Sus scrofa: one gene and its partner. The protein of the gene in region 2 interacts with the protein of the main gene of each other region in a biochemical or structural test. Links are inferred from orthologs where the notes say so. Each region holds a gene or a part of one and is shown on either strand. Other genes may lie near its edges.

Region 1 (6,064 bases), on a different chromosome or scaffold from region 2:
CAGCACAGCAAACTGCTAAAAAAAACATGACAGCCCTCACCTTCTCAGCCCAAATGCTGCACACCTCTAGGCCTGCCCATGGTAAGACTAACGCTCAGAACCTGACACAGGCAGCCCCCAGTCCCCCAGCCAGGAGCCTCCTCTGCAGTCGCATGGCTAAGGTTCCCACCTATCTGCTCTTCCTCGGGCCTCCCATCTTGCCTCAGGTCTCCTCTGCCTCTCATTTGGAGCCAAATGTTCTGGTGAGGGAAATGGAAACCAGGCTCTTGCCTGGTTTCCCACTCTTCAAAGGAATGTCAAGGCAGCAGGGCAGGGTGCTAAGGCGGATGCAGAAGCCAGGCCACAGGCTCACCCTCCATTTTCTTGATGCCAAAGCGTTTGCCTGGTGACTTTCCACCGAGGTTCTTGGAGCTGCCACCTGTCTTCTTGGATGCATATCTGACAGCAAGAGCTGCAGCCTGAGGGGGGCTCAGCAGGGCTGTAACTGCAGAGAGAACAAAATGTTTTTCAAACAGAGGCTCCCAATCAGACTCTCTTTCTCTGTCTCGATGGGCCATTTGCTAAACTGAGAGGTGGCAGGAGGTAGTGTCAGGGGAGGTGAGGAAGATACGTGAGCAGAAATGCCACTTGACGGTCTGGGTTTTCAGGGAGTGTTTGAAGTCCTTGGCCTTCTCCCATAACGGGGCACAAATCATTCCTTGTATTGTCCAGGGTGTAAGCACTACATGAATTGTGTGTGTGTGGCCTGGGGTGGGGGTTTGGGGAGTAAAATAGTAATGGAAAAAAAATAAACACCATCTGTCCTAGGTCCTGACACATTCATTCCTATTGAGGAGAAACAAATACCACAAAAACAGAAGCCAGCAAGAGGATACCAGAGGGCTGCCTGTTTCAGCTTCACTCACCATTATGTCCTCAAGCCTCCATGCACTGTGGAGGGGCCAGACCGCAGAGCCCAGCAAGAGGACACCCAGAGAGGAGGCTCCTGCTTTGACCTCATCCACCATTTTATTAGCCATCCACCCATCCACTGCACACCACGTACTTGTAAACAAAAAGGGCAGCCTCTCTGAGGATGGCTCCCACAGGCTCCTGTCCACTTCAGAAGGCCGGATCCTTTCTTTGCTCAGCAGCCCATCGAGCACAGGTCCAACAAAGAAGACTGACACTCTGACCTTGTTAACCTGACCTCCCCATTCATTCCAAAGAGCACAATGGCATTTATTTTTAAAAGGAAAGTGAACTAAAATTCATACTAACCAGGACAGAAGCCCAGTGCTATATGACAAGCCCAGGACTGGCGGTCCCTGCATTCAGGTCTCCAGATACAGCTACAGTTAAACAGGGCCATGCCAGAAAGTCTTTAGAGAAGGCTTGTGGGTCCCTGGAGCCTATAAGTTCAGAGTTCCTAAATCCCAGGTTTCTGAAGTTTTAATGAGAACAGAGACTACCTGAAGCAAAGGAACAGAGACAAGAACTTATGCAGGTATTTTCTTTTTGGTCGCAAGCACAACATGCGGCAGTTCCCTAGGCAGAGACTGCACCTAAGCCACAGCAGCAACAACGATGAATCCTTAACCTGCTGAGCCACAGAGAAACTCCTACAGCTATTTTATTTATATGCTCATTTACTGGCTTATCTACTAGAAAGAACAGTGCTGTGTGTGCAGACTATGTTTTCATCTTCTCTGTTGAAATTCTCAACACCTACCACAGTGTCTGGTACAAAGATAGACCTCAATCTGCTGAACGAACAGATTAACTTTTTGACCTCTAATATGCCAGCGGTAGTAACCCGTTTTTGCAGATGACGGGATCCAAATAAACCCATTTATTTACCCAAATAAATCGATGAACCGGCACCTACGGCTAAGGAAGCTTATTTGCACGCCAGCCAGTGGAAGGTCAGGAGCTACACGCCCTAGATGTCACGTGATCACCGACTACCGCCCCTCAAACCTCGTGGGCCCTGCACACACCTCCCGTCCCAAGGTCTTCCGCGAGATACAGCCTCCACCGCATCTCACCCTCTGGCTCCCAGTAAGGTCTCCACTCTGCCTCCACCCCTTGCTCCGCGACGACCACAGCGTCCGGTTACCTGCTGCCCGGGTCCTTAGCGCCAGCACCGCCAACGCCATGTTTGCAGTACACTTGCTTCCGGTCTCAGAAATCTGCTTCCGCTACGTGGAGATCTACTTCCGGGTCTTACGTGGCGGTTGAAAGAGTGGCGGGAGAGGTTGCTTGGTGAGTTTAGTCGGGCGGGCAGCCGGGTGGGCGGCCCGGTGGGGGCGGGGTAGGGAGCTACCTTCTGAGCGGTCGGGGCCTCTACTGATCTGGTGCAGGTGGAGAGAGGCTGGAGCGCGATCAGTAGGGGCCCGCTTGCAGGGCCCCACATTCTGCCAGAGGCCACCGAGGCCCCAGCGGGGATAGGGATAAGGTCCCTCCCTAGTCGTGAAACCTACTTTTCTGAGCACTCCTGCGTGCCAGATGCTGTTTGAAGTGCTGTAGATGTGTGACCTTTTTTTTTTTTTTTAACTTCTCACAACCTTGTAAAATTGGTCTTGTTGTTATCCCTATTTTACTAAAAAAAAAAAAGCAAGGCCCAGAGAGGTTACATAGCTCATCTGGGGTCACACCTACAGTGGTAGTGAATATTTGTTCAAAGAATGATTCTTGTGCACAATTCAGCAATTGCAATCCTAGATACAAGAGAATTGAAAACATGTTCCTACAAAAAACTAGGACATGAATGTTCATGGCAGCATTATTTATAATGCCCAAAAAGGGGACTCAAACAGAATGTTCACCAAGTGTGAATGGATTAACTCACACATAAGTAAGATGGCATGTTATTCAGCCATGAAATGATGATGACAACATACATATGCTACATTGTAAATGAACCTTGAAAACATTATGTTAAGTCGGTCACAGGAGTTCCCATCATGGTACAGCAGAAACAAATCTGACTAGGAACCTGAGGTTGCAGGTTCAATCCCTGGCCTCACTCAGTGGGTTAAGGATCTGGCGTTGCCGTGGCTATGGTGTAGGCCAGCAGCTGTAGCCCTGATTCGACCCCTAGTCTGGGAGCCTCCATGTGCCATAGGCTCCGCCCTAAAAAGACAAAAGACCAAAAAAAAAAAAAAAAAAAAAAAAAAGGAGCCAGTCACAAAAGATCATGTACTGTATGATTCCATTTATGTGAAATATCAGAATAGGCAGATCCATAGAAAGAGAAGTAGATTTATGGGTGGTGGTGTTGGCGGTGGGTGGGGAGATGGGGAATGGACTGACTGCTTCATGGCTATGGGATATCTGTTTGGGGTGATGAAAACGTTCTAAAATTAGTAGAGTTGGTTGTACCTCCTTGCAAATGTACTAAACACCACTGAACTGTGTACACTTTAAAAGGATAAATTTTATGGTATACAAATTATATCTCACTTAAAAAGGAATAACTTTGGTATCTCTTATTTTATTTAATTAATTTATTTATTTGTCTTTTTAGGGCTACACCCATGGCACATGGAAATTCCCACGCTAGGGGATGAATCAGAGCTGCAACTGCCAGCCTACGTCACAGCCACAGCAACACCAGATCCGAGCCACATCTGCAACCTACACCATAGGTCATGGCAATGCTGGATCCTTAACCCACTGAGCAAGTCCAGGGATCAAACCCACGTCCTCATGGATACTAGTCAGGTTCTTTACTGCTGAACCAGGACAGGACTCTTGGTATCTCCATTTTAAATGCAGAGATCAGTAAAGAGGTGGCGTTGAGTCTTGTTCCTAACCCCTTAACATTTTTTAATCTTAACTTCCACTTTGTTTATACCTCACCTTGACCTTGAAAGGCTTTGAGGAGGGTTCCTGTTAGACTACAGACATAGCTGTTCTGAGTTCCAGATTGTCCATGTTGGGGCCATGTCCTAATTCTCTCTCCATTTTTCTGTGTATCATATTTATTTCCATAAAGCTTGGCCATCAAACACACTGAGTGGACTGGAATCAGTACTACAGTCTGTGTTCCATCCCTCTTTTTCTTTTAGGGAATTAATATGCTGGCATATACTGATGGCTCTGAAGGCATCACTCTCACTGGATTCCAGTGACAGTGACTCTGAGGAGTTGCCAACATTTGCCTTTCTGAAGAAGGAGCTGTTTTCAACAAAGAGGAGGCAGCCTCAGAAGGAGGAGAAGGTGGTCGTGGTTGACATCTCAGATTCTGAGGCCTCCTGTCCCCCATCACCAAAACGGAAAGACCCATCACCTGTTCCAGAGACAGCTGAAACTCTCACACAAACAGAGCCAGTCAGGGTGCTAAGCAGTGAAAGTGAGGAGGAGGAGGAGGAATTTATTCCCCTGGCTGAGAGACTGACTTGTAAGTTTTTGACCCACAAGCATCTGAGTCCTGAGGACTCCAGCTCCCCAGTTAAAAATGTTTTGGATCATCAGAATAATGGAGCATCACGTGACTGGCAGAAACAGTCCTTTCCAAAGATCCAAGGTATTCCCCTCCATGACACCGCAGGGAGGTGTGCATCAAATAACAAGGACCCTGTGATAGACAGTCCATGCCATCAGCTTCCAGCCTCCCACGCTCCTTGCTCTGCCCAGAGCTACAGCTTGACAGGCACCAAAACAAGTGCTGAGGTACCCCCGCCTCAGAAGAGAACCAAGCACAAGCAGAAGGACGGGAAGAGAGGCTCACAGGGATGCCAGCAGCGTGGACAAACAAGCCAGAAGGAAAGCACGCAGAGGCAACAGGAAAGGAAGAAGAAGGCAGCCCTGGTTAACAGGCTGAGAGCTCAGAGGCCAGAGGAATGCTTAAAGCACATTGTGGTGCAGCTGGATCCAGGTCCTCCAGGCCTCTTTCTCTACCTTTTGTGGGGTGAACTGCTTTCTGGGCCCCACTGACAGCTTCTTTCCTGTCTGTTGCAGTGCTTTTACAGATGGAAGGTGGGGGCCAGCTGCTTAGCGCCCTGCAGTCCATGGAGTGCTGCTGTGTGATTGAGGTGCAGGCTGTGCCCCGCAGCATCACGTGGAGGAGAAAGGCTGGCCCCACTGAGGTAGGGGTTTTCTGGCTGCTGTCTCTCCTCCTCCTTAGAGTTACAGGATAAATATGCTTTTATTCTAAGGATATATATCAGTCAAGGCCCTGGCAGGAAAGCAGAGGGCACACTCAACCTAGGATATTTTGAGGAAGATTTAATAAAGGGACTGCTTTCCAAGGCATGGGCGGGGTGCAAGGAAACTACAAGCAGTGGTGCCGTACCTCGGGATAATAACAGCTTTAACTTGGTTTCTCCATCTCAGGTACCATAACCATTTCAGATTGGTCCATTCCTTGTTGTGCTAGGCTGTCCTGTGCATTATAGGATGTTTAGCAGTGTCCCCAGCATCTACTCACTAGATACCTTGAGTACCTGTTCCAGTCATGACAATCGAAATGTCTCCATGGAGTTCCTGTTGTGGCTCAGCGGTTAACGAACCCAGCTAGGATCCATGAGGATGCAGGTACGATCCCTGGCCTCGCTCAGTGGGTTAAGGATCCAGCGTTGCCGTGAGCTGTATAGGTTACAGGTGTGGCTCGGATCTGGCATTGATACAGCTGTGATGTAGGCCAGCAGCTGTAGCTCCAATTGGACCCCTACCCTGGGAACCTCCATCTGCCACTGGTGCCACCCTATAAAAACAACGACAACAAAATGTCTCCAGATATTGCCAGACATCAACTTGTGGGGGGAAAATTCCCTGTTTCTGTCACAGTTACCCTATAAGGATGGAATTCTTACCCTACATCGCAGGTGGGGAAACTGAGGCCCTGAGAAGTTGAAAGCCTTGTTAAGACTGAGTAATGGCTGGGGTGGGGGTGGGGGAGGACCAGAACCCAGAGCTCCTCCCACTCGTGCTTTGCTATATTGTGGGTCTTGGCTTTTGCTTAGAGGGACCTAATCAGAAAACTCTGCCCAAGTCCTGCTCTCAGTTACTCTGTAACACTGTGCTGCTGTACAATTGTGGACCGTGGGGAGGCCCTGGCTTTGTTTAATTATGCCCTAGT
Region 2 (5,373 bases):
CCCGTGCTGTGCGTCGTGGATCCAGAGCAGGATCCACCCCCAGGGGGGCGGGGCTTCTACCTTTACTGTCTTCCTCCAGGTGCCTGGATGAGGCTGAAAAGGCCCTGAGGCCGTCCGTACCTCAGGTGCCCGAGTGCCCGATCTGTGGCAAGCCGTTCCTCCGCCCGAAGAGCCGGCTCAGCCACCTGAAGCAGTGTGCCGCGAGGATGGAGGTTGGCCCGCAGCTCCTGCTCCAGGCCGTGCGGCTGCAGACAGCTCAGCCTGAGGGGGCCTCCAGCACTCCCGCGCCGAGGTGAGTCAGGGGCAAAGAAGAAACGTACTCTGACTGGTTTAAAAAAGCCTGTGGAAGTGCTGGAGGCCAGCAGCTCTCTGCTTCTGAAGATGAAACATCTCAGGAGGAAACCGGGCCTAGGCTTCACAGGAACTGGGGAGGAGAGAGAGCTCCATCCTCGGAGGCTTTGAAAGGGACCCGTTGGATTGGACTGGTTTCCTCAAGGTCCTTCCCCACAGGCTGAGCAGCTAGGAATTCGGCGGTTTTCCTCCCCGTGCCCACTGTGGGTGGGGGGCAGCATGGCTTCCAGCTCAGTGTAGTCCGATTTTCATACCATTAATTTAAGACTACTCAGCATAGGAATTCCTGTCGTGGCTCAGTGGTTAACGAATCCCACTAGGAACCATAAGGTTGCAGGTTCAATCCCTGGCCTTGCTCAGTGGGTTAGGGATCCGGCGTTGCCGTGAGCTGTGGTGTAGGTCGCAGACACGGCTCAGATCCCGAGTTGCTGTGACTGTGGCCTAGGCCGGTGGCTACAGCTCCAACTGGACCCCTAGCCTGGGGACCTCCATATGCCACGGGAGCAACCCAAGAAATGGCAAAAAGACAAAAAAAAAAAAAAAGATTTCTCAGCACAGTTCAACTTGGTGAGACAGAAGCTTAAGCCTTTTAAATTTGCATGAAATAAATGCTTAAGTGTTTAAATAGAAGGCCTTGCTGATAACCAGAAACAAGTGCTCTGTGTGCAAACCATGGCACATGTGGCAGAGGGTGACTTCCCTCCACATTGCCCCTTGCACTGCGGACGCCAGAGTAGGCCCCAGTGGTACAGGGAGCAAAGTAGCGCTGGCCCTGGCCTGCTGTAGGTTCTGGACTTCCTTCCTTCATCAGCTCTCGAGGGCAAAGTGCAGGCCGAGGGCGGTGGCTGTTGGCTCCGGCCATTGCCCTTCAGGCAGGTGATTTGAGTGGCGCCAGTGCTGACACTGGGGTGGGCAAGGGGCCGTTCTTAGCTGCACACCTGTCCGTGTTTTAGCCCATCAGCATTAGCCTTGGAGAATCAGAGCATCAAGGGCTCAGATGTTACCTAAACCATTGCTGCCCTTTTGGCAGGACTAGACTAAAGCTACCTGCTCATAAAAAAAAAAAAAAAAAAAAAAAATCTGTTTTTTAAATACCTCCAAGAAGTGAGACAAGATGTGTGTGGGTCCTTCCGGAAGGTTGTTGGAGTAGAAAACCACAGCACGCCACCCTCACTGAGACTTTAAGCCTCGCCTAGCCGGCAGCCAGGCTGGGGCGTTTCAACTCTGGGGTGGTTAGAGCTCCCCCACCAGGGCACATGTGCTGGTCAGAGCAGCCTGCTCACGCCTGCAGCCCTCTGCCCAGGCCCTGGCCGCCGGACCCTGAGGTGCAGCCTGCAAAGCTGCCAGCAGGGCCACCAGCAGGGCCTGATGGGGTTGGCTCCTTCCTGTCGCACAGGCTTTGGTGGTCATGCAGGGTCCCAGGAGTCTGGAGCTTAGACCCCTGAGGTGACCCCTGCGATTCTGGTGCCACCCCCAGGCCAGGGGAGCCAGAGTGCTTCCCAGGAGGCCGGCCCCGCAGTGCAGGGAAGGCGGGCCTGGGTTTGTGCCCTCCCCCGTCTGCCCGGCCTCTTGGGATTCACCGCAGCCAGAAAACCCTTTAAGTAACCTCCTCCAACCCAGATGAGATGCCACACGTTGACCTCTGGGTCGGCTGACCCTGGTGGAGGCCTGGGCCCCTGCAGGAGGGAGAGATCCTTGCATGGCCGGGACTGCCTACGAGGCATCTGAGGTGTGGCTGGGCAGCCGTGGGTGGGATCCAGGGAGCTGACTGGGAGCCAGTGCTGACTCTACTGGAAGGTGGCGGCCACGTCTCGGGTGCGCCCCGAGGACCCAGCTGGGCAGCGTCACCCAGGAGGACCCAGACCTGCCATGTCAGGACTGCGTTGAACTTTCCGTCCAGGATCACGAGCCTACGTGAGGCGCAGAGTGAGCGCAGTGACTGAGCCCAGAGGCCGCTGATGCTTCTGTCTGCCCAGGCCACACTTATCCCCCCAGGAGAAGGGGTGCAGCTCCTTCTCAGCACAGGAAGTGCTCACACCTCTCGCCTCACTCACCTTTCCATCTGGCTGTCTCTGAAGCCTCGGCAGTCCCCTCGGAGGTCTGAAGCGGAAGGGAGCCGCCACCAAGAAGGAGCCACGGAAGAGGCGGAAGGTCGCTGAGCCCGAAGCGCCGTCTGAGGACCTGCTGGTGGCCATGGCTCTGTCTCGGTCCGAGATGGAGCGCGAGGCTGTGCCGGCGGCACTCAGACTGGGAAGCGCTTTTTCTGTGAAGATGAGACCGGGAGCAGGTAGGTACCCGCGGCCGAGAGCGGGGCCGGGGGAGCCTGCCCCCCCCCCCCCCCCCCCCCCCGGCAGCAGCTAGAAGTGCTGCTGGCGGGCTTGGTGGGGAGGACAGCTCCGTGTCGCCTGGTTATCTCTAGAGAAGAAGAGTCGCAAGAAGAAGGCGCCCGTCTCCCCACCGCGGTTGTTGCTCCAGGACGCGGAGACGGCGGGCAGGCAGCTGGAGGAGCGCGTGGCGCGACTCTTGGCGGAGGAGGAGGAGGCGGCCGAGTGCGCCAGCACGCCGCCACTTCCCGCCAGCCGACTCTTACGGAGGCTGGAAGAGGGCAGCGGCCGTCTGCGACCGCCCGGGAGAAGGCAGAACTTTCTGTGGGAGGGCAGCGCCCTGACCGGGGCCTGGGCTCTGGAATCCTTCTACACCGAGAGCCTGGTCCCCACCCTGGTGCCTCCGAGGCCCGCAGAGGTGCGCTCCCGCCTGGCACTCACTCGCTCGCCATCTGGGGGTGGGCTTGCCGGGGAAGGGTGGCGGCTTGGGGATGGAAACCTCAGGTTTCACTGGCGGGGGAAGAAGCGCGGTTGTCACCTAGCGTGTCCTCTGCAGCTAGACGGCTCCCCTGGTAAGAACAGGGAGGCCCGCTGGCTCCCCATGTATGTGCTCCTGGAGAGTCTGTTTAAAATGCAGAGGCCCAGGTCCTGCTCCCAGGGCTCGCACTGTCTACCTGCAGCGGGGCCTGGGCACCAGGCCGGCCTGACATGGGTGGTCCGGAATCAGTACTCACCTGCTCGAAGCAATTTTGACCACACAGGAGGGACCCTTCTGCAGACGTGGAGGCCACAGACATGTCCTCTGTCATGACAGGGGAGCCTGCTGATGGGTGGTAATGGTGAAAAGCTTCCCCAGCCTGCTCTGGGCTGAGGCTGGCACCCTTGGGCACACTCTCACGCTGGCGCTCTGACTTCTTTCAAAAGCTCGCACAGGAGCCCACGCTGCCCCCGGTGCTGCCTGATCCACCAGAGCCGGGCCCACGAACACCACCTGCTGTGCACAGTGCCCGCCCTGGGGGCCACAGCCCCAGCGACCCAGCACCCTCCGCCAGCCAGAGGGAGCACCAGGCCCTGCAGGACCTCCTGGACCTGGCAGGAGAGGGGCTGAGTGCCAGCCCGCAGCCCTGCAGTGGGGGCCCGGCTGGCACAGGAGGGGAAGCAGGTAAGACACTGGCCCTCTGGGCTCCCCTTCCTGGGATGGAGGCTGTAACAGGCCAGTCCTCCTGGTGCCGTGACAGCCGCTCAGACCCGACATCCCCGCTCATCCCCTGTGACAGGGAGAATGTAGGGTCTGTAGGTACTTCCATTTTCCCTCCAAGGTGAAGGTGATTAGGTGAGTCTGCAAAGGTCCTTCAGCTTTGACCCAGGACAGGGCCTTCCGCAGAGCGGGTGGGCTTGTGGGCTTGTTTCTGTCCCATGCACCTCTGGTGGGAGGGCTGGGGGTGTGCGGGCAGCTCGCCTGCGGTGCCCGCGGCCTTGGGTCAGTGGGCGATGTGATTTCCTGGTGGTTGATGTTGCCAGGAGGTGCTGTTCTTTTAAGCTGTGACTCCTTCTTTCAGGGATGGACTTGTCACCTGGCGGCCTTCCGCTGACTGGGTTTGTCCTGCCAGCCAAGGAGAAGCACGCAGAGAGGGGCGGCCAGGCTTCGGTAAGGGTGTCTGGTCCCCTGCCCTGCGGCCTTGGCTGCGGTGCTTGTCCCGTGTTCAGTGCGGCCAGCTCACTGCCAGCCTCTGGGCCCTCGCATGAGCCCACGGGTCCTCTTGATGGCCCTGGAGCTGAGCCAAGCGCATGCCCACGGGAGCCTCCTATTCCCGGGGCTCTGCCATGAGGCCTTTGTCCCTTTTGTCATTGAACTCTGGGGGCACGTTGGTACCCGGGCCCAGCAGCCTGCCCTGTCCTGGGGCCCAGGGGCGCACCCCTGCCCCGAGAGGGCACCTCCTGCAGCCGGTGGCCCCGCACGCTTGTCTCTGGATGCTCCGTTCCCTCGTTGAGGCCTTGAGGTGCCCTCCCGAGGGCGAGTCCTGCACGCCTCCGGCCAACCGCCCTGTTCTGTGTCATGGCGGAGGAGCAGAAGCTAGGTTCTCCCTCGAGTGGATGTCGTCCTGTTAGGCCATCACCATCAGCCACTCTTCTCACCAAGGTCTCCCTGGAGATGTGGCACCTGTCACGGAGGGGACAGGGAGCTTGAGGCCGGCCCCACGGCCGCATGGGCTCGGGTGCCGTGCGTTAGCATCAAGCTGGGCCGGTAGTCACCCTGCACACCGACTGGCACACGAAGCACTCAGCGGCCGCTAGTGCTGTCACCCCCTTCTGATGAGGTCGCCAGTGCCAGGCCTCTCCGCCGGCTGGGCCTCCCGTTTAGGCCAGGGAACTCGTCGTGATAGAGAATTTGAGAGGGAACAGGGTTGGCCGTTCTGAGGCTTAGCCTCTCAGAGGTGGAGCTGACGCCGGGCCTTGGGAGCAACTCGAGGGCTTGCCGCCCGCACACCCTCAGTTGGGCACCTGCACAGCTAGGCGGGCGGCACATGGAAGTGGTTCTCCTCTTGTTTCAGCTCTCCCTCGGTTTGCTGGTGGCTGACTTTGGTGCCATGGTGAACAACCCACACCTGAGCGACATCCAGTTTCAGACGGACAGCGGCGAGGTGCTTTATGCCCACAAGTTCGTGCTTTATGCCCGATGCCCACTTCTCATGCAGCA

Evidence for each region. The genes of interacting proteins can lie anywhere in the genome.
Region 1: the proteins of SLX4 (region 2) and EME1 form a complex in vitro, tested with the Homo sapiens proteins (3 studies listed by BioGRID, with this or other methods). The link is inferred for Sus scrofa from reciprocal best matches to the Homo sapiens genes SLX4 and EME1.

The regions. Positions count from the first base shown.
Region 1 is NC_010454.4:26,667,974-26,674,037, forward strand, and holds the start of EME1 (crossover junction endonuclease EME1), read left to right. Parts: upstream 1-2,152; 5' UTR 2,153-2,244; intron 2,245-4,052; 5' UTR 4,053-4,077; coding exon 4,078-4,861; intron 4,862-4,944; coding exon 4,945-5,072; intron 5,073-6,064. Other genes in the region: MRPL27 (39S ribosomal protein L27, mitochondrial), read right to left, coding at 353-484, 1,980-2,022. UniProt on the Homo sapiens protein: Non-catalytic subunit of the structure-specific, heterodimeric DNA endonuclease MUS81-EME1 which is involved in the maintenance of genome stability. In the complex, EME1 is required for DNA cleavage, participating in DNA recognition and bending.
Region 2 is NC_010445.4:38,655,947-38,661,319, forward strand, and holds part of SLX4 (structure-specific endonuclease subunit SLX4), read left to right. Parts: exon of another isoform or gene 1-79; coding exon 80-292; exon of another isoform or gene 293-2,429; coding exon 2,430-2,638; intron 2,639-2,770; coding exon 2,771-3,093; intron 3,094-3,409; exon of another isoform or gene 3,410-3,599; coding exon 3,600-3,837; intron 3,838-4,234; coding exon 4,235-4,323; intron 4,324-5,227; coding exon 5,228-5,373. UniProt on the Homo sapiens protein: Regulatory subunit that interacts with and increases the activity of different structure-specific endonucleases.